7 linked regions of the Callithrix jacchus genome follow. The protein of the gene in region 4 interacts with the protein of the main gene of each other region in a pairwise test. Links are inferred from orthologs where the notes say so. Each region holds a gene or a part of one and is shown on either strand. Other genes may lie near its edges. The genes, in order: NOD2, KAT7, KIAA0408, VIM, CRMP1, PPL and YAE1.

The links.
Region 1: the proteins of VIM (region 4) and NOD2 interact in binary tests that used the Homo sapiens proteins (3 or more experiments, as listed by UniProt). The link is inferred for Callithrix jacchus from reciprocal best matches to the Homo sapiens genes VIM and NOD2.
Region 2: the proteins of VIM (region 4) and KAT7 interact in binary tests that used the Homo sapiens proteins (3 or more experiments, as listed by UniProt). The link is inferred for Callithrix jacchus from reciprocal best matches to the Homo sapiens genes VIM and KAT7.
Region 3: the proteins of VIM (region 4) and KIAA0408 interact in binary tests that used the Homo sapiens proteins (3 or more experiments, as listed by UniProt). The link is inferred for Callithrix jacchus from reciprocal best matches to the Homo sapiens genes VIM and KIAA0408.
Region 5: the proteins of VIM (region 4) and CRMP1 interact in binary tests that used the Homo sapiens proteins (3 or more experiments, as listed by UniProt). The link is inferred for Callithrix jacchus from reciprocal best matches to the Homo sapiens genes VIM and CRMP1.
Region 6: the proteins of VIM (region 4) and PPL interact in binary tests that used the Homo sapiens proteins (3 or more experiments, as listed by UniProt). The link is inferred for Callithrix jacchus from reciprocal best matches to the Homo sapiens genes VIM and PPL.
Region 7: the proteins of VIM (region 4) and YAE1 interact in a two-hybrid assay, tested with the Homo sapiens proteins (2 studies listed by BioGRID and IntAct). The link is inferred for Callithrix jacchus from reciprocal best matches to the Homo sapiens genes VIM and YAE1.

What each region holds. Positions count from the first base shown.
Region 1 is NC_133521.1:8,640,257-8,643,756, forward strand, and holds part of NOD2 (nucleotide-binding oligomerization domain-containing protein 2), read left to right. Parts: intron 1-2,543; coding exon 2,544-2,627; intron 2,628-2,849; coding exon 2,850-2,933; intron 2,934-3,500. UniProt on the Homo sapiens protein: Pattern recognition receptor (PRR) that detects bacterial peptidoglycan fragments and other danger signals and plays an important role in gastrointestinal immunity.
Region 2 is NC_133506.1:116,500,716-116,504,215, forward strand, and holds part of KAT7 (histone acetyltransferase KAT7), read right to left. Parts: intron 2,369-3,500; coding exon 2,279-2,368; intron 2,092-2,278; coding exon 1,951-2,091; intron 566-1,950; coding exon 472-565; intron 1-471. UniProt on the Homo sapiens protein: Catalytic subunit of histone acetyltransferase HBO1 complexes, which specifically mediate acetylation of histone H3 at 'Lys-14' (H3K14ac), thereby regulating various processes, such as gene transcription, protein ubiquitination, immune regulation, stem cell pluripotent and self-renewal maintenance and embryonic development.
Region 3 is NC_133505.1:134,018,610-134,022,109, reverse strand, and holds part of KIAA0408 (uncharacterized protein KIAA0408 homolog), read left to right. Parts: intron 1-2,163; coding exon 2,164-2,526; intron 2,527-2,614; coding exon 2,615-2,694; intron 2,695-3,500.
Region 4 is NC_133508.1:18,041,871-18,044,995, reverse strand, and holds part of VIM (vimentin), read right to left. Parts: intron 1,608-3,125; coding exon 1,512-1,607; intron 1,415-1,511; coding exon 1,253-1,414; intron 556-1,252; coding exon 430-555; intron 82-429; coding exon 1-81. UniProt on the Homo sapiens protein: Vimentins are class-III intermediate filaments found in various non-epithelial cells, especially mesenchymal cells. Vimentin is attached to the nucleus, endoplasmic reticulum, and mitochondria, either laterally or terminally.
Region 5 is NC_133504.1:186,105,663-186,109,916, reverse strand, and holds the start of CRMP1 (dihydropyrimidinase-related protein 1), read left to right. Parts: upstream 1-1,454; 5' UTR 1,455-1,571; coding exon 1,572-1,952; intron 1,953-4,126; exon of another isoform or gene 4,127-4,204; coding exon of another isoform or gene 4,205-4,254.
Region 6 is NC_133513.1:7,012,278-7,015,777, forward strand, and holds part of PPL (periplakin), read right to left. Parts: intron 1,362-3,500; coding exon 1,239-1,361; intron 1,049-1,238; coding exon 902-1,048; intron 246-901; coding exon 94-245; intron 1-93. UniProt on the Homo sapiens protein: Component of the cornified envelope of keratinocytes. May link the cornified envelope to desmosomes and intermediate filaments. May act as a localization signal in PKB/AKT-mediated signaling.
Region 7 is NC_133512.1:8,032,669-8,036,885, reverse strand, and holds the start of YAE1 (protein YAE1 homolog), read right to left. Parts: upstream 2,801-4,217; 5' UTR 2,786-2,800; coding exon 2,651-2,785; exon of another isoform or gene 1-2,650. UniProt on the Homo sapiens protein: The complex LTO1:YAE1 functions as a target specific adapter that probably recruits apo-ABCE1 to the cytosolic iron-sulfur protein assembly (CIA) complex machinery. May be required for biogenesis of the large ribosomal subunit and initiation of translation.

The sequences.
Region 1 (3,500 bases), on a different chromosome or scaffold from region 4:
GAAGGGGCAGCGGGAGGGAGACTAATTACCTGGGGGGAAGGTAAGGAGAGGGCTGCCTGAGATTCTGCAACATGGAAGAATACAGCTGGCCCCTAACTCCCTTCCCCGATCCTTGCTTCTGGCCAGCGTCTTCCACTGGCTGGACCCATTAGGGAGGCCAAGCGGGCTGCTTGCTGGAGTAGTCCTCAGACATCAGCCTCCCATGAGCCAGAGACGGGTGGAGAAGCGAGAGAGTGGATGTGGCCAGGCAAGTGGAAGACAGCCAGCACCAAACTCTATTTCCCTAGGAGGGAGGATCATGACACTTGAGTGGGAATTTGGAAACCTATCTGTTGGAGCAATTTTCCTGATAGAAATAAGATTGTGCATTTTCCTGGGTAGTAGACTCATAGTTTTTACCCCAAGACACCAGGCACTCCTGGCCTGTGTGATCCTCATAGGCCAGTGCATCCCTGGAATTCTGGAATGGATCTTCCATTCTTGGTTAGGGATGTCCCTTCCCAGGATGTGCAGAAGGGCTCTGGGAAACCTGTGGGTCTGTCTCTATTTTCAGAGAAAGGTGAGGATGGCCTGGTTCTAGCTCATGGTGCTCAGACTGTGGTGTGTAAAGGCACTTGTGGAAATGCAGATTCCTGGGCCTGCCCCTAGTGATTCCCATTCAGTAGATTTGGGGTGGGGCCCAGGGCATCTATATTTTTAACAAACAACCCAGGTGATTCTGATATAAGTGGTCTCACCCTGGGAGAACTACTGGTCAGCAGCAACCAGCTTGGTTTTCCATTAGCAATTACTGTCCTTGAGCAAGTTCTGCTCTTCACCCTACACACACTAAAATTGCCAAGGCCGTAGGGTAGGGGAAGCAACCATGAGGTTGCTGTGAGTGCAGTGTGTGTGTGTGTGTGTGTGTGTGTGTGTGTGTGTGAGAGAGAGAGAGAGAGAGAGAGAGGAAGGGAGGAAGGGAGGAAGGAGGAGGGCTCTCCCACAGTGCCAACCTGTTTCTCTCCCACTTGAAGTGTTTCCATGCCAACCGAGATCCTCAGCCTCTAGGAAACCCCATATACACAGTGCCCCTGCATAGGTTTCTTTACACTCTGGCTCTTCCTGACTCCAGAGTGTTGGGTTTCAAAGTTTTTGGCTGTGACCCACAATGATTGAGAGAGAGACAGACAGACAGAGAGTGAACGAGCACACCCACCACCGTGTAAACGTGAAACCAAAGCTTCATGAAATGGCTTTGCTCTGTGAACTCTGATGCACTGTGCTCTCTTCTGTTCTGTTCAATCTGTATTTTAGAAATGCTGCTCAGGACCTCAAAATGGTTTGCATGTCCCACAGCCTGCAGTCTAAAAAATCACTGCTCTAGAGAAGTGGCCGTAAGAGGCCCTAAGGGAGAAGCTGCACCATGTCAGGGTTAGGAGTGGGGTTTGGAGCCAAGCTGCCTGGGCTCAAAGCCTTTATGTGTATCCTTGGCAAAGTCACTTCACTTGTCTGTGCCTCAGTTCCTTTCTCACGAATGCACAAAATAATGGTACCTGCTTCACTGGCTTGTCGTGAGGATGAAATAGTGTTATTATCGGGCAGTGCTAAGGATAGGGACCAGGGCTAGCGATCACGATTCTAGGTGGTTTTTACCATGCACCAGGTGCTCACAAGGCTTTATATACACAGCCTGGTGAGGCTGATAATACTGTTATCATAGATGAGGACACCAACAGATAACTAGTAAGTGGCTGATCAGATTCACAATATCCAGCTGAGGCGCTCCAGAGCCTGAGCTGTTAATATTCAGTCAGGGCCTCCCAGGTTTGCCTGAAGATAAAGAATCATGTGCACAGTTGTTAAAATATACAGATCCCTGGGCCCCACCCGACACATACTGGATCACCAGCTCCAGGATACAGGCCTGAGAATCTGTATTTTAGGGAAGCTTTCAGATGAACTTGTGATCAGGTGAGTTTTGGGAATGGTGCCCCAAGAGGAGTGGCAGGCCAGGCTTGCTGGGCAGGGACTGGCGGGTGGGAGTGTTATCACTGGGGTTAAGGACTGGGCACTAGCCACAGCCTGCCTGCCTGTTTCCAAAATTTGTGGCCGGTCTCATCCAGCTGGTCTACTGTCTGCTGGCCTAGGTGATGGTAAATTTCTCCAGGGGTAGCCTGTCTAGTTCAGGCTGTACCTTTCCCATATATCAGCTCCTTTCCACCATCGTCCCCTTTGTGAGGCTGTGATTATCATGTTCCTTTTGCAGAGATGGAAACATTGCTTCAAATTAGCTCTGTGATTTCCTTAGGATTCCGGGTGCTTTAGTGGCAGATCTGGGCCCTACGTCCTGGACCGTCTCTGTCATAGAGCACCACACCACGTCACCTCCCCCGCCAGGGACCTTGGGGTCTCCACTTTTCTGGGGTGCTCCATCTTTGCAGGGTTTCCTGGAAGCACAGATGCTGGCACTTCAGGGATGAATGAAAGTCTTTTTTGTAGATTTGTAGATTTTTTTCTTGTCTTTCCAGCTCCGTTTTCAAATGTATTTATCTTGTCTCTTTTAGTTTGCGTGATAACAATATCTCAGACCGAGGCGTCTGCAAGCTCATTGAACATGCTCTTCACTGCGAGCCATTGCAGAAGTTAGCGTAAGTCAGCCTGGGCTGTGGACATTGGGCCCTCAGTCCCCTGGTCTCACCCCCGGTCATGCAGCCTGGGTAGCTGTGAGTGATGGGCTGGGGCAGGGGCTGTTTGCATGATGGGGGGGTGCAGTTGATTCCTGCCCAGAGGGGAAGGGCAACCCTGGGATTGGGTGCTCCCTGTGCAGTGTGCTTTGCTTCTGTGTCTCCTCTCTTCTGGAAACTGAACAGTCTGTTCAATAACAAATTGACCGACGGCTGTGCACACTCCATGGCGAAGCTCCTTGCGTGCAAGCAGAACTTCTTGGCATTGAGGTGAGCCCAAGTTTTCCTTATTCCCTGGAAACTATTTTTTGCCCAACAGCTGAGTCAGTCTGGTCTGGTCTTGGCCTGGTGCTGCCCACACTGGCTGCTGACCTTCTGATTGAATGTAGGGGCAGTGTGTCATTTTGAGCAGGGGTTCTGTGTACTGCCATCATCTCCCCTGTAAACTCTGGACTAGCCCTGCTGAGGGCTTCCTGTCTTTTGACCTTTAACCCATAGGGCAAAAATGTTTTTCTAGTCCTCTTTCCTTTTCTGTGTCTAAGAGTGTCACAGCTCTCTGGGGTGACTGAGTTTCACGATGTATGTTGAGCTTGTCTCACTGGTGGAGGCATACGCAGTTACTTGCCACCCCAGCTGTGGCAGCCAGTGGCTGCAATACTCCCAGAAGGTCCTTTCACCATTCAGAGCATGCAAGGTTTGCAGTCTCATCTGGGTCTGCATTTCTGCTGCTTCAGTGTCTCCCAGTTTCAACTGGAGTCTCTCTCTCCTACCTGGCACTGTTAAATTGCCTCTCTAGCTGGCCTCTGGGTTGGGCTGGCTCTCTCTCTCTCTCTTTCC
Region 2 (3,500 bases), on a different chromosome or scaffold from region 4:
AAATGTTAGGACTGATTTGGGGGTTAAAAATAAAATTTAGTGAGTAAGCAAATTCACAGACAGAATCCACAATTAATGAGGGCAGAGTACATTACACTAAGGGTCCATCGGGTATATATATTACCTCTAGACAAGTCCCTACAAAAGTGAAATCCCTAGCATCAAGAAACAGATTTTTAAGCCTCATGCATGCATGTGCTCTTTAAAAGTCGCAAACTGGGATAATCCTAAAGAGCTTACATTATCATCCTCTGTACCTCCTACTAATTAAGTATTCCTTCAATGTTCAAGGTGTATCAGGCAGAATGACAATGTTCAGGTTTTTCCTACTTGTTCATTCATTTACTAAATATCCATGTACCTCCACTACATTCCAGGAATTGCAGAGACCACAGGACAAAAAGACAAACAACAACATTCACATGGTCCCTGCCATAAGTGTAGAACTTATGACTTAGCAGTTTCACTTACTGAAATCAATGAGCATCTTGCCATAGCCCTGTCTCATGTACTGAGGCATGGTAAGGATACAGGATACGTTGTAGTTGAGGAATGAATTCTTTTCCTAAAATCAAGAGCAAACAGATGAGCATGTCATGAGGATTTGAAACCAAAGATTTCAGCACTTCCACAGATATAAAATAAGGTTGCTTGCAAAACACCTGGCTAACCAGTCCCAAGGAGTGGCTGCCAGGTGCATAGCTGTTATATCCACACCTTTTATGATGGCTAAAGCCATTAATCATCCAGATTTCCCTAACTGAGACCTCTAGTCTCATTTTAAGGGGGCTGACTCTGAGTTCCTAACAGCCACAGAGCAGGGCAAGAAGGTTAAATGCAATTTTTGAAAAGGAGCTGCCTACTGGAAGAAAAGGGAAGGAAAAAAATACAGTAGGTCCCCATTCTGCAAAGGGTAAAAAGAGCAATCACACTGAATCAAATCAAAATGTATGATTCCACTTATAAGAAATGTCCAGAATAGGGAACTTTATAGAGAAGGGCTGAGAGGGACTGAGTGAAAACAGGAGTGATTGCTAAGAATTTCTTTTTAGGATAATGCAAACTGGGTTGACTGCACAACTCTGTGAATACACTATAAACCACTAAATTGTAGCCTTTCAGTACGTGAATTTATGGTGTATGAATTATATTCCAATCAAGTTGTTACACTAAAGGCCATAAACAATATCTGGCCTTGGTCGTGGCACGGTGGTACACACCTGTAACCCAGCACTTTGGGACATCGAGGAGGGTGGATCACTTGAGGTCAGGAGTTTGAGACCAGCCTGGCCAACATGGTAAAACACCATCTCCACTAAAAACACACAAAAAATCAGCCAGGCGTGGTGGCGGGCACCTGTTATCCCAGCTACTCAAGAGGCTGAGGCAGAAGGGTCACTTGAACCCAGAGGTGGAGGTTGCAGTGAGTCGAGATCACGCTGCTGCACTCCAGCCTGGGCAACAGAGTGAGACTGTCTCAAAAAAAAGAAAGAAAGAAAGGAAAAAAAATCTGGCCTTGGGTCTTTAAAAGGCACAGTGGTGTTATCACTGAAGGGACCGTGTTAAAAGGAGTCCAGCTAAACAATCAGGCTAAAGGAGTATATCCCTGGTTTTAAGCTAATAACACAGAGGCAGGCAAAGCCAGGAGAGTTGGCTTGACTACAAGATGTGGGCTTGCGGGATACTAAGGAGGGCTCTGCCCAGTCACTAATAGGCAGCTCCAGTCCACAATTCTAGAAATGAATAAACCAGAGCTTTTAATAAAAACTTCATTTTCATTAAACAATCTTTGATACATGTGTTTGCCTTTCGTAAAAAATTTATTTAAGGGATGGGGTGTCATCAACGCCCAGAGTACAGCTTCTTCTGTCAGTGATTTTAGCTGCCCGACTGCCAACATCGATCACCCTGCTCTGGCCACTGGCTTATTCATCTCCAGATCCTGCTTACCTTGGAAAAATATCCAATCAGGTGACAGCCAGTGTTGTCCGCCTCTGTCATAACATAGAACAGGAAGGGTTCCACATCATAATATAATGTCTTATGGTCCAGAAAAAGTTTGGCCAACAGGCACAGGTTTTGGCAGTAGATCTGGAAGCAGAGAGAGAAACAGAGTTCATGTGTGGGCCACTGATTCCTAGACAGATAAAGGCCTAAAATTCAAACATACCATAATTGTTAATGAAACATGTCCTCCGAGATGTGACAGAGACAAAATACATTTCTTCTGAAACCTCTGAATATACATTACGACTCCTTTCTAGTCACCACTTTTTACCTTGTTTTTCTTGCCATCCACTTCAAACACGGAGATGGAACCTTTGCGATATATCTCATCACCAGGTGGGTGTTTCCACACACACTTGGCCTGCAAGACAATGAAATTCACATCAGGGAACCAACACCTCCCAACAAGACTGCTTCTCAAAAAGGAAAGAGTAACAGGTCAACTCTGGTTAATGAGCTATAGGACAGTCGGACACGCTGAGAACATACAGCAAAACAGAGATTTTTTTTCCATAAAACAAAGGCTTCCAAAGTCATTTGAATATATTTATGACACTTTTATAGCAATCTGGAACTAAGTATTCTGGCTTACATTCTGGCACTGCTTTAGCCCAGGAGATTAAAATCACCTACTACATAAAGGCCAAATAAATAAGAATACCTTTGCTTATTACCAAATGCCTCAAGCCGGCAGGAAATTCTTAAGCAGCTTATTTCCAGAAGCTTGGGGTGGCTAAGTACTTTACTCTCACCTTTACCCATAACTTCTCATTACCACCTAATCATTATGGTCTTCTTTGTTCAGATTAGAAAACCCACTCACGATGGTAAAAACCACGCACTACTACCTGTCAGCCCTTCTCCCCTTCTCTCCTCAACAAGGAGGAGGTTCCTTGTTGCATAAGGAAATTAAGACAAAGTCCTGTGACTTAAAATAAAAAAAAATAATAATAAAAAAAAAAGGCAAGGCAGCCTGGCTGAGCAGCAGAAAGCTAGGGTCACTTGGCCACAAGGGGGCACAAAGTACCCCCTTTTCCTAAAGCCTCAAGTGCTAATTATTTTAATGCAGCCCACCAGCCAGCCAGCCATCTGCAGTTAAAAGTTTGCATTTTTAAATGTTGTATAAGGCCAGGCACTGTGGCTCACACCTGTAATCCTAACACTTGAAAGGCTGAGGCGGGCAGATCACCTGATGTCAGGAGTTTGAGACCAGACTGGCCAACCCATCTCTACTAAAAGTACAATTAGCCAAGCATGGTGGCAGACGCCTGTAATCCCAGCTACTTGGGAGGCTGAGGCAGGAGAATTGCTTGCACCTAGGAGGTGGAGGCTGCAATGAGCGGAGATAGCACCATTGCACTCCAGCCTAGGTGACAGAGCAAGACTGTCTCAAAAAAAAAAAAAAAAAGTTGTTTAAAAGCATAGATATATAAAACTCTTTTTTGAGATTAGGGTCTCCTCTGTCACCCAGGCCGAAGTGCAGTGGCACAATC
Region 3 (3,500 bases), on a different chromosome or scaffold from region 4:
CTGGGCATGGTGGCGCGGGACTGTAGTCCCAGCTACTCGGGAGGTTGAGGCAGGAGAATTGCTTGAACCCAGGAGGCAGAGGTTGCGGTGAGCAAGATCGCGCCATTGCACTCCAGTCTGGGTAACAAGAGCAAACTCCGTCTCAAAAAAAAAAAAAAAAAACAGAAAGAAAAAAGAGAAACGTTTCTTCACATGTCGCAGAGAATCCATAAAATTTTTTAAACTAAAATTAAGAAATCAACACTTGGACAAATAACCTCATGCCATAAGCATAACTGAATTTGTTTAACATTTATCACAAAGTTCTCTGTATTAAATCAGATGTAAATCATTAAGCCATATACTGGAGAATTGTAAATTCCCAGGTATGCACATATATCTTCAGTGATTTTAAGTGATAACATCTAATGAGAGGATACAGGCTATTAAGATGCTCATAGTTCTCTGTTCAGCCACTATCCACAATCATTGCATTTGCTGTGACAAAACCAAGATGTTCATACTTGGATTATTTGAAACTTGGAATAATCCAGATAGAAACTCTGGATAGAATTTATAGACATCTGGAATTTTTTTTCACACTTTAGTCTCCTGCCTGTATCCTTTGATAGAATAATCAAATAACCATTGACAAGGGCTGAGTACCAAGTAACTTAGATTCCCTTGAACAAAATCGTTTTCCATCAATAACACTGTTATTTGTTTATTCATACCTCACCTAAGTCCCCAAGAAAATTTAAGATGGCATAAAATTAGGTATAATATAAAATATGCAAAAACAAAAATGGAAAGATGAGCTGAAGACAGTAGGAAGGATCATATGTGAAATGTACCAGTGAGTCTTTCTAGTAACTAACAAAAATTATTAGGTGCATGTATCTTCAAATTCAAATGATAAGGCAAATTTATTTCCCAGGAATAGCATGCTTTCCCCCTGGTTTTGCAACTAAAGCAATTTTGTTTTCACCCATGACTTCTCAAAAACAGGACAGTGTCACCAACACCATCCTTAAATTTAACATGTCACTTTTTAGGGTTGCTTCTTATAATATCCCTCAAGGTCTGCCCAAATCATAATGCCCACAGAAGTTCAGTACAAATAATTTGGCAGGGACCGAACGATCGATGCATGGCTTCAGTTTGATGCTATCCTGACTTCATATAATAAATACTAATAAATTTATAAGCATTAGAAAAATAAATGCACATATATTTTTCAGGCATCAATTTCTAGTGCTTCTCTCAACTGAGTTATCAGTATATATTAAGCAGCAATAAATCTGTTATATTACTTGAATAATACATGTGGTGTAGATGTTGATTGTGGCTGTTAAATATAGAGTCATTTGCTTTGATAGTCATCTGACAGTCTCTTGCAGTTTGACAAGATTTTACGTGACTCAGGACTAAAGAGAAAGCCACTTCTTTCCTCTATTCAGAAGTGAAGTGAATGAGTGTGTTTAGCAGGTTTAACTAAGATGTCATAAAGAAGTTATTTGGGGTCTGCTTTAATATGACTAATCGATGATCAAAGCCTTGCAGTTCTATTATATCATGTAGGGTATTATCATATTTGTTTTAATCTAGATGAGAAACTTTTTAAAAATGTGTATCACCTTGACAAATTTTTTAAATCTCAGTAATATTTAGCCCTCATCAATGTAATTGACCAATCAAAGGAAACATCCTTTGACGGACAAGTGACTATTTAGGGACCAGAATAAATTGACTTACTATATGAGATTGTCAAGTATTTATTTAGACAGTTAAATATTAGGGTACAAGTAGGACCAGACATTTTAAAACTATGACTTTACTGTTAAATTCTCACTACACCCTAAAAGCAATTAGGTAGTATGGCCAGTAATTGATTCAGACCACTCTAATTTTGTGACAGTGTTTCTGTATTTATATACAGATACAGATTTATTTTATTTTTGAACGAGTTGATTGCTAGTCAGAAAGACTCTGCATCCATGTATTGCCCTGCTAAAAGTAGCCTTTATGTTTCATCAAACTTGTTCCAGCAAATCCATATTTTAGAGGCACCGGGAATTATATTTGAATAAGGCAAAGAGACCTCAAAGCAGTTTGCTTAGTATCAAGAGTATTATTAACAAAGTGAATTAGGGGAAAAGAAATTTTAATTTTGTTTTCTTACAGCTTTGCCAGGAAGTAAAGCTTCGGAGGAAAATCAATATGAATGAACGTGCTAAGATCATTGATCTTTACCATGAGAAGACCATTCCAGACAAAATAGTAGAATCTTCCCCAAATTACCCTGATGTAGGACAATGTGAATTTACAAGGATGAATCTCAAAGATGGTCTGAGAAATGAAAATAAAACAGAACAGAGCTTAGTCAGTGGAGGAAATCAAATGTGTAAGGAACAAAAAGCAACAAAAAAATCAAAAGTAGGGTTTTTGGATCCTCTGGCTACAGACACCCAAAAAGAATGTGAGGCCTGGCCTGACCTGAGTACTTCTGAGGAAGAGAACAAGAGCTGTTCTGGCGCCCTCAATACAGTAAGTAAGACGTGATTGGCCTAGCACTGTTTCTAAAGAAATATTTACATTTCAAAGTGGTAACGAGCTGTTGCTTATATGTGTAAAGGCTCTTGAAGAACTTGTGAAGGTTAGTGAAGAACTGTGCAGCTTTCAAGAGGAAATTCAAAAGCGGTCTAACCATAGAAGGTAGGCAGATACATCTGATTATTTTAGATTGGTAAATCAAAAAGAATATTGTTTTTAATGAATCCAAACTGCTTCCTCCTTACATGTAAGAACTATTGAGTTATTAAAATGCATTATCTAGGGTGGGAGATAGAAACTTTAATTTTTTGTTTGTTTGTTTGTTTTTGAAATAGAATCTCGCTCTGTTTCCCAGGCTGGAGTGCATGTTTTTGAAATAGAATCTCGCTCTGTTTCCCAGGCTGGAGTGCAGTGGTGTGATCTCAGCTCGCTCTGAACCCACTGCCTTAGCAGTTCAAGCAATTCTTCTGCCTTAGCCTCCCAAGTAGCTGGGACTACAGGCACAAGCCGCTATGCCCAGCTATATATTTTTTTGTGTATTTTTAACAGAGACAGTATTTCACCACGTTGGCCAGCCTGGCCTCGAACTACTGACCTCAAATAATCTCCCTGCCTCAGCCTCCCAAAGTGCTGGGATTACAGGTGTGAGCCACAGCACAAGGCCAGAAACTATAATTGTATATTTCTCTGTTCACTAATTTTTGAAGCAAATCTTCCAATTATCTTTGTAATCTGACTGTTAGTAACTCTTTACTCTTTTTGGTGTTTAATTAAGGTAGACCCTCCATAAAAAAATTAGTAAGTGGGCCAGGCACAGTGGCTCACACCTGTAATCCCAGCATTTTGGGAGGCCGAGGCAGACAGATCACCTGAGGTCAGGAGTTCGAGATCAGCCTGACCAACATGGAGAAACACAATCTCTACTAAAAATAAAAAAATTTAGCCTGGTGTGATGGCACATGCTTGTA
Region 4 (3,125 bases):
GCCAATAGTGTCTTGGTAGTTAGCAGCTTCGACGGCAAAGTTCTCTTCCATTTCACGCATCTGGCGTTCCAGGGACTCGTTCTGCAGGAGGTGAGAAAGGTTTCTGGTGTTATTGCTCAGAAAAACCCAGCTATTCCCAGAACCATTTAGTCTTCTTGCAATAATTTCCATTAGTGGCAAATGACAACTACTCTAGTCGTAGGCGGAGAATGCAAGTACCAAGTCCTTCATATGAGAAGCAATGATATACACAAGCTAAAACCTTCAAGAGCGCCATCAAGTCCTTTTTGAGTTTGTCGTGATAAGTCATTTTCTTTGCATTACCGTATAAATTTTTATTCACTCAACATTTTGTTCAGGCTTCGCCATTAGCATAGTCAGCAGAATGGGTCATTATTTCCCCTCTTTTACTGCAGGGTTGGTACTCACGGTTCCTTTAAGAGCATCCACTTCACAGGTGAGGGACTGCACCTGTCTCCGGTACTCATTGGACTCCTGCTTTGCCTGGCGTAGGGCATCATTGTTTCGGTTGGCAGCCTCGGAGAGGTCAGCAAACTGTCGGGGAGAAAACAGAAATGTACATTGCTCCCATTCAAGTCTTGACTCTCTTAGAAAAAAAAGATCATATTTCCCACTGAATGTCTTCCAGTATAGGCTTAAATTTCTGTTTTGAAAGCCAGAGAAAGAGCAGTGGAACACTGACATTACTATCTTCAGAGTTCACTCTACTGTACTCATTTAAACACAGTGGAGGTCAAAGTATGGCATTGGGGTTTACTTGGAGGCACGGTTAAGAGGAAGGGAATCTGCTATTCTGAAGGAGGTGATATGGCCAGGAGTGGTGGCTTATGCCTGTAATCCCAGCATTTTGGGAGGCTGAGGCAAGGCAGATCACCTGAAGTCAGGAGTTCAAGACCAGCCTGGCCAACATGGTGAAACCCCATCTCTACTAAAAATACAAAAATTAGTCGGGCATGGTGGTGCTCGCCTATGGTCCAAGCTACTTGGGAGGCTGAGGCAGGAGAATTGCTTGAACCCGGGAGGTGGAGGTTGCAGTGAGCCAAGATGATGCTACTGCACTCCAGCCTGGGCAGTAGAGCAAGACTCCATCTCAAAAATAAATAAATAAATGTGAGCAACAAGTCAAAGCCAGCTTTTAACTGGAGCTACAGGATAGGAATTACACACAGGAATGGTGTTTTGAGAACTCAATGCTTTTCTTCTGTGCAGGCCACAGGGACTTGTTTCCTACCTTAGACTTGTACCATTCTTCTGCCTCCTGCAGGTTCTTGGCAGCCACACTTTCATACTGCTGACGTACGTCACGCAGGGCAGCCGTGAGGTCCGGCTTGGAAACGTCCACATCGATCTGGACATGCTGTTCCTGAATCTGAGCCTGCAGCTCCTGGATTTCCTGCAAAAAAAAAAAAAAAAAGCAGATAGAAGGTCAGCTGTGCCAACTGTGGGGGTTGCCTTACCTTCATTCATTTCCCGAAAGACACTCTACTAACCTCTTCGTGTATTTTCTTCAAAAAGGCAATCTCTTCTTGCAAGGATTCCACTTTGCGTTCAAGGTCAAGACGTGCCAGAGACGCATTGTCAACATCCTATTTTGAACAGAGAAAAGACAGGACATGGAGGATGTAAAAGTCTATGGCTTCTCTCACTTATTCATCTTAGATTAACCATCTAAACCTAGTCTCCTTACTATAGAAAAGGTGTTGACAAATTTTACCACCCTTGAGTAAGTTTAGAAATCATTTAGTGCTATCATATGCTACGCTTTCTCCTGCTCACTAATAAATTTTAATCATGACCCCTTGTGTTTTACTCAAGGTGGTGATCAGACAATTTTAAAATAAATAAATGTCTACAAATGTGGTAAACTGTACGCAATCATGACTGAATCCACATTTTACCAGTGACATTTTAAAATTACTTTTTAAGACTCAGAGTAGTGGCTCATGCCTGTAATCAACAAAATCCAACCTGTATAGATCAGGGGTCAGCAAACTGCAGCCCGTGGCTGTCTGTTTTTGTAAATAAAGTTTTACTGAAGGCTGGGCATGGTGGCTCATGCTTGTTAATCCCAGCACTTTGGGAGCCAGAGGCAGGGGATCACCTGAGGTCAGGAGTTCGAGACCAGCCTGGCCAGCATGGTGAAACCCCATCTCTACTAAAAATACAAAAATTAGCTGGGTGTGCTGGCACACGCCTGTAGTCTCAGCTATTTAGGAGGTTGAGGCAGGATAATTTCTTCAACCTAGGAGGCGAAGGTTGCAGTGAGCCGAGATCGTGCCATTGCACTCAAGCCTGGGTGACAGAGAAACAGTCTGTCTCAAAAAAATTAATTTAATTTAATTACTTTTGAAATCTAGAAAATCTCTGTCATAACATTTTTAAGATTGGTTTTGTAATTTCATGGAATAACATGATAATAGACATGGACAAAATTTCACAACTTCATGTACACTTGAGCACATAAAGAACAGAAACTCATGCTTTAAGAGTTTAAGTTTTTTTCTCCACTAGAATCTTCTGAATCTCATCCTTAGGCTCCAGAGCAAATATGTAGCCATCTGGCATCCATTGTACAAGGCTAGATTTATATTCAATAATAGCCCAATTCAGGAATATGGGCATTGCCTAAGATTCAGTTCAGGAAAAAATGGAAAAGACACGTAATTCTTAATGTATTTGCTTTGCTTTCTCTGATGGAGTTTTCTTCTAAAACTCCTTTGGCTCCTCTCATAAAGGCATGTCTTTTTCACTTGCTACTGTATCAGTTCAGTTAGCCTGTTTCTGAATCACTGACCAAGCTTGCAGATAATGAAACTACATGAATTTTTGCTGATTCAGCTGTCCTTCTATGTTTCCATTTGTAAAGGGCAACATTCCAAATCAGAATATGTACTTTTGCAACTAAGATTTTATTTTCTCTCTAAAGGATGCATGAGGATTGCTTATCTTGTCAGTAATTATATTTGGAGTTCAGTTTATACTCTTAGAGTATTAAACTGTTGAGACTTTTCTATCATCTTTGGGAAAAAATGAATGAAGAGTGGGTGATAAAAAGATCCAACTTAATGAAAACATTCATTTTTACTTGGTAAGCCCTAAAAAAG
Region 5 (4,254 bases), on a different chromosome or scaffold from region 4:
AGCTCTGGCTTGCAGCTGGCAGAGCCTGGAGTTGAAAGGACAGCTTCCAGCATGGGACATTGCAAGAAGTACTGGTGCTCCCCTCTGCAGTCCCCATCCAGTCCTGACTTTGCTTGTCTGGACTCGCCTGAGGAAGGGTCGGCAGCTGGGATCCTGCCTCTCCAGAAAGTGCAGCTGGGACTGCAAAGTCTCCAGGGACTTCTAGGGTCCTCTGCCTGATAATCTTGAGAAATAAGGGAAAGTGTCCATAGGAGGCGGGTGGTGCCTGGCCTCAGAAGAGAGCCCCAGCAGAGCGACCCCCACATCAGAGGAATCCCAGAATGCCCAGGCTACAAGCTCCAGGAGCAACAAAAGCAGACTGTGCCCCTCGAATTGGGGGAGATCTGTCTGGTTGACTGCCAGCTGTGTGTGTGGTCATCTGTGTCTCTGGGCGTCTTTCTCTGGAGCGTTTTCATTTAAGCTTTTGACTCCCTTATCCCTGGTGCGGACTAGTGTGTGGGCATCCTGTTGTCAGTTTACGATGCACGTGTGGATTCACCTTGAGTTTGCCTTTGATATTGGTGTGTCGTGTGGTGTCACTGGAGTGCACGTGTATGTGTGTGTCACTGGTTCCCATGCAAAAATGTACTTCTCTTGCGTGTCTGTGGGAGTATGCCTCTAGCATGTCCCTCTTGGCTGCTGCACCACCCTTCCTGACCCTTACCACCCCTGGGCCCACCATGCGGGTGCTTTTCTCACCTCCTCCTCCTCTCTTTAGAAGGTCAGCTCCTGGAAGGCAGGCACTTGGTCTGTTTCGTCCATGGCTCTGTTCCCAGCTTCTACAACAGTGCCAGGCACTAGTGGGCGCTCAGTAAAATAATGCTGAGGGAATGTACGGTGTGTCCAGTGCATGTGCCTCTTCAGTCGTGCAGTTAATCTTGGTGTGATGCTGTGTGTGAGTGCAGTTGTAAGACAATGAGATTTTCTGGTGTGTGTGTAATGAACGCGGAATGTGCACAAGCATGTGTGCGTGTATGTGTGTACAACATTGAGTATGGTGTGCATGAACCAGCCCCTGTGTATCTCGGGAGAGCGTGTGTAATTGACTCGTGTGCGTGTCAGCATGTCTGTGTATCTCTCGTGTTTGGTGTAATTGGCGTGCCGGTATGAACCCGCGTGTGCCTCCGGAGCATGTGGGCGTGCGGGTGTACGCACACCGCTCCCGGCCCGCGCTCTCCTGGCGCCCTGCGCTCCGCCTGGGGGCGGGGAGTGGGGGTGCGGCGAGGGCACTGCGGTGCTGCGGCCCGCCCTCCGCGCTGCGGCTCCGGCGCGTCACCGTCCCTCCCCGCCCCAGTCGCGGTCCCCGCCTCCCGGTCCTTTGTAGCCGGCCGCGCCGTTAGCCCGCAGCCTCCCGGAGGCCCCGCCCCGGCCCCGCCCCGGCGTGCGCCCCGCCCCGCCTCTCTCCTCCCCGGGCCGCAGTCGCGCCGGGGCCGCCGCGGGCCCGCACCGAGGCGCGGAGCGCGGCGCACGGTGGTGGCCAGGGCCGCGGGCGGGCGGGCGGGAGCGCGGCGGGTGGCCGGCCTTGGAGGGGTATGGCGGACCGGCGGCGCGCGTGGAACACGGAGGACGACCTGCCCGTGTACCTGGCGCGGCCGGGCAGCGCGGCGCAGACCCCGCGCCAGAAGTACGGCGGCATGTTCGCCGCGGTGGAGGGCGCCTACGAGAACAAGACCATCGACTTCGACGCCTACAGCGTGGGCCGCCGCGGCTCGGCGCGCACGCCGCGCAGCGCTGGCCGGCCCGACGCTGTCGGACTGCCGGGGCCGGGCGGCAGCGAGGACACGGCCAGCGACGTGAGCGAGCCCTCGGGCTCCGCGGTCAGCTCGCCCGGAGAGCGCGACGAGCGGCCCCCGGCGCTGCGCATCCGCTGCCCAGCGCCCCGCGACCTGCCCCTCGGCCGGGACAATGGCCAGGTACCCTCGGGGAGCGCGCGGGCCGGACGAGGGGGGCGGGGCCGGGGAGGACCCCGGCGTGGGCCGCCCGAGGGCAGTGCCTGGGTCCCGGGTGTTGGGGCAGCAGCCGCCAGGCTGGGGAGAGCCAGGGGGCGGCCCCTCCCCCACCTCATCATGAGAGAGGTTCCCAGAGCTGGTGCGTCTCGGTCAGGGCTGGCCGGCGTGGTCCGTGAGACTCCGAAGGGATCTCCCGGGTCCAGTCGCGGCTCGTCTTCTGCAGAAAGGGAGAGCAAGGTTCTGAGAGGGGAAGTAAGTTGGCTAAAGCCACCTCATGGTCGCTTAAAACGCCAGGGAACCTCTGGGATGAATCTAAACCAGGCTCTTCATTCTGTTTTGTGAAAAGAACTGGAGCTCCGTTCCGTGTTGGTCCATTCATCCATCCACTCACTTGGTAGTAATTACAGAGCACCTACTGTGTGCTGGGCCCCGGGAGAGGTTCCGCGAGTCGCCTGCGGCCATACAGCCTCAAGCTGGAAGGAGCTTTATCCCGAGCGCTCCCCTCATGCTTGCTGGGGGGAAGGATTTGGTGAAGGATTTAGGTCGTCGGGCAGTTGGAGCCGTAAGCCCCTACCCGCAAGCGCCAACATATTCAAGGGGCACTCCTGAGCTCCACAGCACACACCAGTGTGCCTGCTTCACAGAGCAAGGTGGAGTTAGAGCTGGGATTTTGAATCGGGGTTTCTAGCCTTCCAGACTTGAACATGGGACCGGGAGGATCAGGGAGAGGGACCCTGTGGGTATTCTCCCTTGAGCTGGGGGTCACCAGGGAACTGGGGGAAGAAGGGCGGATGGATGGCATAACCTTTGGATAGACCGACGAGAGCCAGGGTCAGGTGCCGGAAAAACCGCAGTTGGAGTACCCGAGGGCTGGGAAGCTTTCGGCTTGGCCCAGAACTGGATGCCTGAGAACTGCTAGGTACCGGGCCCAGGGTAGGCTCTAGATCCCTGGCTCTGCAACCTGGCCCCACCCTCCAGAAGTTCCCAGGCTAGGGTGAGCGACGGATTCATTGTGAGAATTAAATCAGTTAATGCCGGTAGGTAATGAGCATTCAATAAATGTTTGTTGTTGACTTTTACTACGATCATCATTTTAATTAAATCTTTCCTTCTTAAATGCTGTGAGTGACCTAAAGTGAGCCTGAAGGGAAGCAGAGCTTATCGGGGCAAATATCTGAGAGGGCTTCCTGGAGGAATAGGAGCAGGGGGCTGGTAGACGCGGTGGTGGGCCTCCTCGGACCCCATCCCTTCGAAGTCGGGCTCACTGTAGCTCCGGAGCTCTCCGTGGTCCTGAAGCCGGCGCCTCCCCGAGAGAGAGGTCCAACAGCAAGGGTGGTGGAGTGGTCAGAAAGGGAGATGGTGCGAGAGTCCAGCCTCCTCTTCCCCACCCCTTCTTTATCTCCTCCTGTCCACTGCCTTCCCTGGTGGTCCGACCTCGCTTGGGATCCAATCCAAACTCCAGAGCCCTATGGGGAGGCTTCTGGGCCGCGGGCCGAGAAGCCGGACCAGCACCAGGGAACCCGGGTTTCCAGCCAAGGCGCTTTGCTCTCTTGAGCCTCAGCTTCTCCATCTATCAGATGGGGGTGGCCGTCTTCTCTCGACCTTCCTCAAGGCGTGGTGGAGTACCAGGGAGGCAAGGGCGCTTTGTGCACGGCCCGTAGCTGTCCTGAGGCGAGTTCTTTTGGAGCTGTGGTCAATGTCACAAACGGCAGCATCGCCCCCGGGGCACGGCCTGGGCCGACCCCGCAGCTGCGCCTTAACGCTTGGGGACGCTGGTCGCTTCACCTCTCCCGTTCCTCTCCTGCTCCTTCCTCTTCTCTCTGCGGCCCCCTCTGCCTTTCTCCATGGCTTCTCAGGGACCGGACAAAAGGCTGCGCCTCTGGCGCGCGCAGGGCTCCGAAAGCACTCGAGTTTTGCGACTATTGAGCTCAGGGGATCGCGATCTCCACGGAGGGAGGGTTTTACTTTCTGCGAGAGAACGGCGGTGGAGCTTGGGTTACAGCGGGCGAGGGTTCCGGGGCGGGCCTCACCGCTCCAATGCTTTGCAACGGGTGCCCCGGCCCTTCCCCCGCCCGCAAGGCTTCTCCCTGGGCTGCAGGAAGGTTTTCTGAGGCGCAGGCGCAACGATTGCAGCTGCCAGAGGCTGAGCGGCTGCGGCGCTTTGTACCCGCGAAATCTGCTTGGGAGCAGCGATCTGTTTGGCCAGTGGCAGGAGAATGCTCCTCCCCCTGATACGCACGTGGTCTTGTCCCTTGCTCTGGAGCTT
Region 6 (3,500 bases), on a different chromosome or scaffold from region 4:
AGGCTGAGTCCGAATGCCCAGGGCTGTGAATGGGGCCTGAGAAGCCTCAGGAGTAGGGCTGGTCCGTGCAGGCTCCCGCCTTTGCCCTTGTACCTGTCAGCCAGAGCCAGGGCCTCGGGGTCTGTGGGGGGGATCACAAAGCAGACGGCAGGAGCGATCAGCCTGTTCCCAGTGCTGTCTGTGAGCTCCCAGCTCTCCCCGTTGTTCTTCTGCAGGGTGTAGCTGTAGCCCCGCGATATCAAGCCCTAGCGGGGGCAGGCCAGACAGTGAGGATCCCGGCAGGGGCTGAGGAGTGAGATGGCCTGGGAGCCCGGTAGCCATCTCACTCCTGCACCCGACTCTTGAACCTGAGGAGCCCTGGCTCTTTGCCTGGACTCTGCCCATCGAGTTGGGAGGGGCACGCAGGAGAGACACAGGTGTTGAGGCTGCCAGTCCAGCAACCCACTTCCATTTCCCTTTGGAGAACCTTCCCTCCTGATTCCCAGTCCCTGTGGTCTCATTCCTTCTCCATTCCCAAGCTCCAGATGGACACTGACTTGGATCTGGCCAATGAGACTGGCATTCCCCAGCCACAGTCATTGGTATAGGGTGGACACGAATTCTCCGGCCACAGTGATTGGTGTAGGGCAGACACATGACTCACAGTGGGCCAATGAGAACCTGCCCTGGGACTTCTGGGGAGTGGCTGGGGTTGCTAAGCAGGTGGAACACAGGCCAGGCCAGCTGGGGTGGGGGTCACATAGGGGTGTCAGTGTACCTGCATGAGGGGAAGGGTGGGCAGAATGACACCAACCATGGAAACAGGCAAAGGTTCCCAAGAACGTTGCCTGAGGCCCCGCATCCAGCCATGTTACCCCAAAGACTTTGTAGTGACGTGAACAGAGAAGCTGGCCCCACGCACCTGTTCCCCCTCAAAGTCACAGAGTGCCTCCACGGGGATGGGCTTGAGTGGCGTCTCCCGGCGGTACTTGAGGGGCACCACCTGTTGGCCTCGCTTCTGCAGACCCCGCACCACGTCCTCATACTTGTCCAGCACCTTCTCCTGGTCCTGGAGAAAGTGGGGTAGGGGACCCGGGTGAGACCAACAGCCTTTCCCCTGGTGGGAGGGTGCTGTGTGGGGGCTGGGATCAATAGGCGGGGGCTGTGGAGGGGCCTGTCCAGGGTTGAGGACGGGAGTGGTATAGAGGGGTCCCCGCTCCCCTGCCCCAAGCCAGCAGGGGTCCTGGGCCATTGCTCACATCCAGCTCCCGCAGTAGCAGCTCAATCTGGTACCGGTCCTTGAAGTCGGGGCCGTATTTCTGGTTTAGGTCCGAGTCCACCTTGCGCAGCAGCTCCTGAGCGTCCTTCATGTCTTTGTGGAACTAGGGGAGAATGTGGCCCTGTCACAGCCAGGAAACCACTAGAAGCACCTGGGCTTCTGTCTGAGGCTTCAAGCTCATCCCTCAGATGGGACGCTGTGCTGAACCTGAGGCTCCCTTCATGGAGACAGCCCCACCCTCCCCGAGCCAGCTCCTTGGGGAGAAGCCGGGTCCTTTCCCACCCATCCACGAGATGACACCTCTGTGATATGCTTCCTTTCATATACAAGTAAGTTTTGGGGTGTCTTTGATTCCATTCCTCTCTCTGCACTAGGAACACCCAGACTTTATACCTTCTTTCTAGGTTTTGATAATAACCTCCCCTTTATGTTCTCAAAAATTCTCTTGCCCATTCTTCAGTCTATGAACTCTTGGGTCACTGTCTGCTAACCCCTGGCCCAGCAATTTGCCCCTCTCCTGCATGAACCTCCAAGGGGGTACAGAGGGGTGTGTGTCAGCAATCCCCCCTCCCCACAGGCTGAGCACTTGGGCTGCAGCCATGAACAGCACCTGAAGCCCCCACTGTGCCGCTCAAGACAGTGAACGAGGAAGGACATGGGGTTGCCCACATCCAGCTTCCCCCCAGACACCTCAGTCCTAAGAGTCACCCGCAGCTTGTTAAGAACTCTCATTCCTCTGTAAACAGACAAGCATCCAGCCACAGATGAGTGGATACACACTGGTCTGTCCGTACAATGGGATATGATTCAGCCATGAAAAGGAGCGAAGCACTCAAAATGCTACGACACGGATAAGCCCAGCAAACATGATGCTCAGTGACACAAAAGAGCGGAGACTGCATGATTCTGCTTATCCTCCACATTCACTCCAGATGTGAAACATCTGGAATAGGCAGGTCCACAGAGACAGCAAGCAGAACAGAGGTGACCAGGGCTGGGGAGCAGGAATGGAGACTTACTGCCTAATGGGTACAGGTTTTTTTTTTTTGAGCTGGAGTCTCTCTCTGTCACCCAGGCTGCAGTGCAGTGGCAGGATTTTGGTTCACTGCAACCTCTGCCTCCCAGGTTTAAGCGATTATCCTGCCTCAGCCTCCCAAGTAGATGGGATTTCAGGTATGCGCCACCATGCCTGGCTAACTTTTATATTTTTAGTAGAGATGGCATTTCATCATATTGGCTAGGCTGGTCTTGAACTCCTGACCTCTGGTGATCCATCTGCCTCGACCTCCCAAAGTGCTGGGATTACAGGCGTGAGCCACCACGCCCGGCCAGGGTTTCTGTTTGGGGTGGTGGAAAGAGTTGGATAGCTAGTGGTAATGGTTGCATTGTGAAACAATGAATGCCACTGAATTGTACACTTAAAAATGGCAAATTGGCCGGGCACAGTGGCTCCTGCCTGTAATCCCAGCACTTTGGGAGGCTGAGAGGGGAGGATCACCTGAGGTCAGGTGTTTGAGACCAATCTGACCAACATGGTGAAACCCCATCTCTACTAAAAATATAAAAATTAGGCCGGGCACGGTGGCTCAAGCCTGTAATCACAGCACTTTGGGAGGCCGAGGCGGGTGGATCATGAGGTCAAGATATCGAGACCATCCTGGTCAACATGGTGAAACCCCATCTCTACTAAAGATGCAGGAAATTAGCTGGGCATGGTGGCGCGTGCCTGTCATCACAGCTACTCAGGAGGCTGAGGCAGGAGAATTGCCTGAACCCAGAAGGCGGAGGTTGTGGTGAGCCGAGATCGCGTTATTGCACTCCAGCCTGGGTAACAAGGGCGAAACTCTGTCTCAAAAAAAAAAAAAAAAAAATATATATATATATATATATATATATATATATATAAATATAAATTAGCCGGGCGTGGTAGTGGACACGTGTAATCCCAGCTGCTCAGAAGGCTGAGGCAGGAGAGTCACTTGATCTCAGGAGGCAGAGGTTGCAGTGAGCCGAGATGGCACCATGGCACTCTAGCCTGGGTGACAGGGCAAGATTCTCTTAAAAAAAAAAACGCAAATTTTGTTTTATTTATCTGCATATATATTATAGGTTTTGCAAAAATTAAAACCCCACACACTCATCCCTGGGCCCCATGTTCCTGAGGGTCAGACTCTGGCCCCGGTCCCCAAGGAGGATGGACAGGGGCCAACAAGCTCGGGACATGTCTGCACATGCCATCAGA
Region 7 (4,217 bases), on a different chromosome or scaffold from region 4:
TCTTAGTATTATGATTTTGATAAAAACAGAAGATTGGTCATTTCTTTTAGTTTGAAGTGAACTGTGACTTGCTTGTATATTGCAGGGTTCAGTCTAGATTGTCATTAAATCAGAGACTACATTCAGAACATAAAAGCGCTAGTTATATAAGTTTGAAATATGATTTAAGCACTGTTGATGATGGTTTAAATAGTTCTCTAATTTTTGAACTATTGTGCCAAGCAGTAAGATGTATGTATATTTATTTAATAATAACCTGTTTCAAGTCAGATTTGAAAATTTACATTTCCCAAGTATTGCATTATTGGGGTGTTAAAGATTATTTTAGAGAAAAATATTTCTTATTTGATATAATTTTTCTTAGCTTCACTGTGTGAAAAAAGGAAGATATTTCCCATAATGGGAACTCTGATCATTGTCTTAAGAAATATGTATGTCAGTGACAATTCTGTGTTCTTTTCAGAAATATATTCCAAAATTTCCTCGTATTTTTAGGTTGCAACTAATAAAAACTACCTTATATTAATTTATTACAGTTTACGACACATGCTAATACAGGATATGCTAGTGACTTAGGAAGTTTTTAAGTCCATGGTATTGTCTTGATTCCAATAAAGGCTGACTTTCTCTTGTATTTTTTATTTACTATGGGTTACATTTTTTTTATTTTTCAAATTGGATGATAATTTCCTGAATTTTTTTTTAATGTTTTAGTAAACAGCATTTCTTTTTAGATCCATCAATTGAACTTTCTGTTGATAATTTAAAATCTTGGCCATTCATTTAAGATTTTATATCATTCTTGCTGAACTTCTTGCTGTGACTTGCTTGTATATTGCAGGGTTCAGTCTAGATTGTCATTAAATCAGAGTCTACATTCAGAACATAAAAACACCAGGTATATAAGTTTGAAATATAAGTTTGAAATAATTAAAAAAATTTTTCTTTTTGGATGTGAAGGTGAACATTCCTGACTTTTGTCTCATGTGGAAAATCCTTGGTATTTTACATTTTGAAAATTCTCAGAAGCTTAATATAAAACAAAGTTTGCATTCTACTCAGGAAAAAGCATCTTCTTGTATATATTTTAAATATATCTTTGTCCTCATATACAGAAAGTTCTTAATTGATTTTACAGTTTGTAATGCTTGATGTTTTAAAATCATTAACATTTTCATAATTTTTAAGAGACAAACTTCATGTTCTCCTGTTCTTTCCTGACTGCTAATATTGTGTGGTATTTCATAGGTAGAAATCAACAGGAGGGAACACTTAGTGTACTTTTACTCATTAAAAAGCTAGAATACATATAGTTTTGACTTTACAAGAAGGAGAAAAATCATAAATACAATGAATCAACTGACCGTTATGTAGTGGACAATGTCCCCTTCTTTTTAGGCTCTGTTGCTATATGAATCCATTAGACTTACAGTAGTAAAATGTACAAGTTTTCTCTAAAGCCCTCTCCTTTAGAATATAAAATATACCACTGAAGAGTTTGGATGTGTAACTTGTAATGCCTTAGAAAAATATCCTAAGCACAAAATAAACTCTTCTAACGGCTTCAAAAGACTAAAAAAAAAAAAAAAAAAAACCAAAAACTCAGTGTTAGCAATGTCTTCACAAAATGAATATATGGAAAAATACATATCTGGGCTCTTGCCAACTGATTGGAATGGTGTGGGTGGGTGAGGAGACATGGGAAAGCAGAGAGAGAAAATCGTTTAAAAAAAAAGGAAGATAAGTCTGGTTTCAGTAATTTTGCTTAATCCCTAAATTCAACTAACCTGCAAAAGCTCTGTGGGTAGTGATTTCATTCTGCATCCCTTATGGTGGCCACAGCGCTCAGAAGATGCTCAATACTTACTAGGGTAGCCCCAACCTCACATAAAGCATTTTTGTAACTGACCACTTGGTTTTTGAGCTAAGCAAATAATACTTTACTGAAATATTAAACCAGCGCAGATACCCAACTGCAGCGTTAGCGGCAATTTAATGGTTGGCAAATATATTAAGTGGATGTGGACCTCACCATTTGGTCCTCATTCAGAACTCGGTTCTGAAGTCTGCTCACAGAAATTAAGCTTAGTTTCAATGAATAGTGAGACAAACTAGAGATGAAAAAGTTACATCTAACAAATAAAGAAGAAATCAACTTTAATATTCCCTTATCTAGACACCAGTATTCCACATTAGCTTTCCCTTATTGCCCTCTGACAGCACTCTTAAGTTCATCTTTTCAGTATGTCTCGATTAATACCACTCCTTAACTTCAGGCTCCCGATCCATTCAAGCAATTAATATAAACTGCCTACACATCCTTTGACAGCCATAATTAGTAGAGTCAGTGTATGTTTCCCCCCAACTCCTTTCCCTGTGATCCTCAACAAATTGCACTGTTTAAAGTCCAGATACAGTAAAATTTAGTCGGTCCTCAGCTTCTAAGCACCCCGTAGGCGCTCAAAGAACGCGTCCTGTTGTTTCGTACACTTTCAAGTAACCATTGAGAAATCCTAGCAAGACGCGGGTTGGACCGCGTTCCTACGGATAAAGAGCGGAGCGCCGGGCCACGCTGGTGCCCTTCTGGACCCAGCTTCTTGACAACTCCGCGCCTCTTTCCACAACCCAGCACCCCGCGCCGTCCACCCACGTTTACTTTGACTCGTCTCTGCATGTGACTCTGCCATTCCCGCTGCACCAGGAGCGATTCATCTGCTTCCTCGTCAAACACGTCCCCTTCGTCTCCAGGGCCACGGACCGAGGATGCCGCTTGAACCCACGACATCACCGAGGCAATTACGGTGTTACAGGTCACCGGAAGCGCCGACAACTCCTTCCGGTCCGAAGGCGGGGCGAAGACAGCAAATCGGAGCTCGGGAGGGGGCTGCGCGTGCGCGGGGGCGGGCTGTGGCGGGTGGACGCAGCCCCAACCTTCGCTTGCGGTGATTTTGAGCGAAGTCATTGATGTGCACCTGTCGGTTGTGAGCGAGGCGGACTTCCTCGCGTGGCCGGCACGACCTTCACCTTTGCAGAAGGCAGCCAGGACCCTCAGTGAAACACCTTCCATTTCCACCGTAGTCTCTACCATGGTCTGGATTTTACACACGCGCACATTGGTAAATTGTTAAAAGCAGTAAAGTCGATGGGCGGTTATCGCCCAAAGTCGTTATCTCTGTTGGAATCTCCTCTGCATTTAAAGGGTTTGACAAACCGACATTTTTAACTGTTAGGCTTGTGGAGCAAAGGATAATAGAATCGAAAAGTCAGATACTGCAGCCAATTTGAGATCAGTAAGAAAGAGAGAGTACGTTTGTAAAGCCAAGGCGTTTTTTTCACTGATGCACAGTATCCTTCTGCCTCCCATTTCTATTCATACGCCCCAAGGTAGACTGTTGATTTGGTAAGGGTGGGGACTTGTGTCAACACCAGCACGGTTCTGACACATAGTAGATGCTGATCTCGATCTTGGTAAATGAATAAACTCCTGTAGTATTCCTGTTTTGCCCATTGCCTAAGTGAAATGAGTCATGTGATAATGATTTAGTTATCTAACAATTTCTTGAACACCTACCTTGTGTCAAGCACCATTCTAGGCTTTCGGATACATCAGTGAACAGACAGAAGTTCCTAACCATTTTTGACTTTATAGTTATGTAAAATTGACAGGTTAAACAATAAGCAATATGTAAGTAACATAAGGTTTGTTAGATCATAAATAAATGCTATGGCTCAAGCCTGTAACCCCAGCACTTTGGGAGGCCGAGGCGGGTGGATCACGAGGTCAACAGATCGAGACCATCCTGGTCAATATGATGAAACCCCGTCTCTACTAAAAATACAAAAAATTAGCTGGGCATGGTGGCGCGTGCCTGTAATCTCAGCTACTCGGGAGGCTGAGGCAGGAGAATTGCCTGAACCCAGGAGGCGGAGGTTGCGGTGAGCCGAGATAGCGCCATTGCACTCCAGCCTGGGTAACAAGAGCGAAAACTCTGTCTCAAAAAAAAAAAAAAAAAAATAAGTGCTATGAAAAAAATTTAAAAATAAGTAAAGTAAGAACCATGAGTGTATGGGAGTGGGTTTTTGGTTCACGTTACAATATTAAATCTCCAGAGAGAATTTGTCATTCCACAAATAAAAAGGATATAAACTATAAATATGTATATTTTATTAATGTAAATATATTAAGATATGTATATATCTTAATTAGGAACAAAATG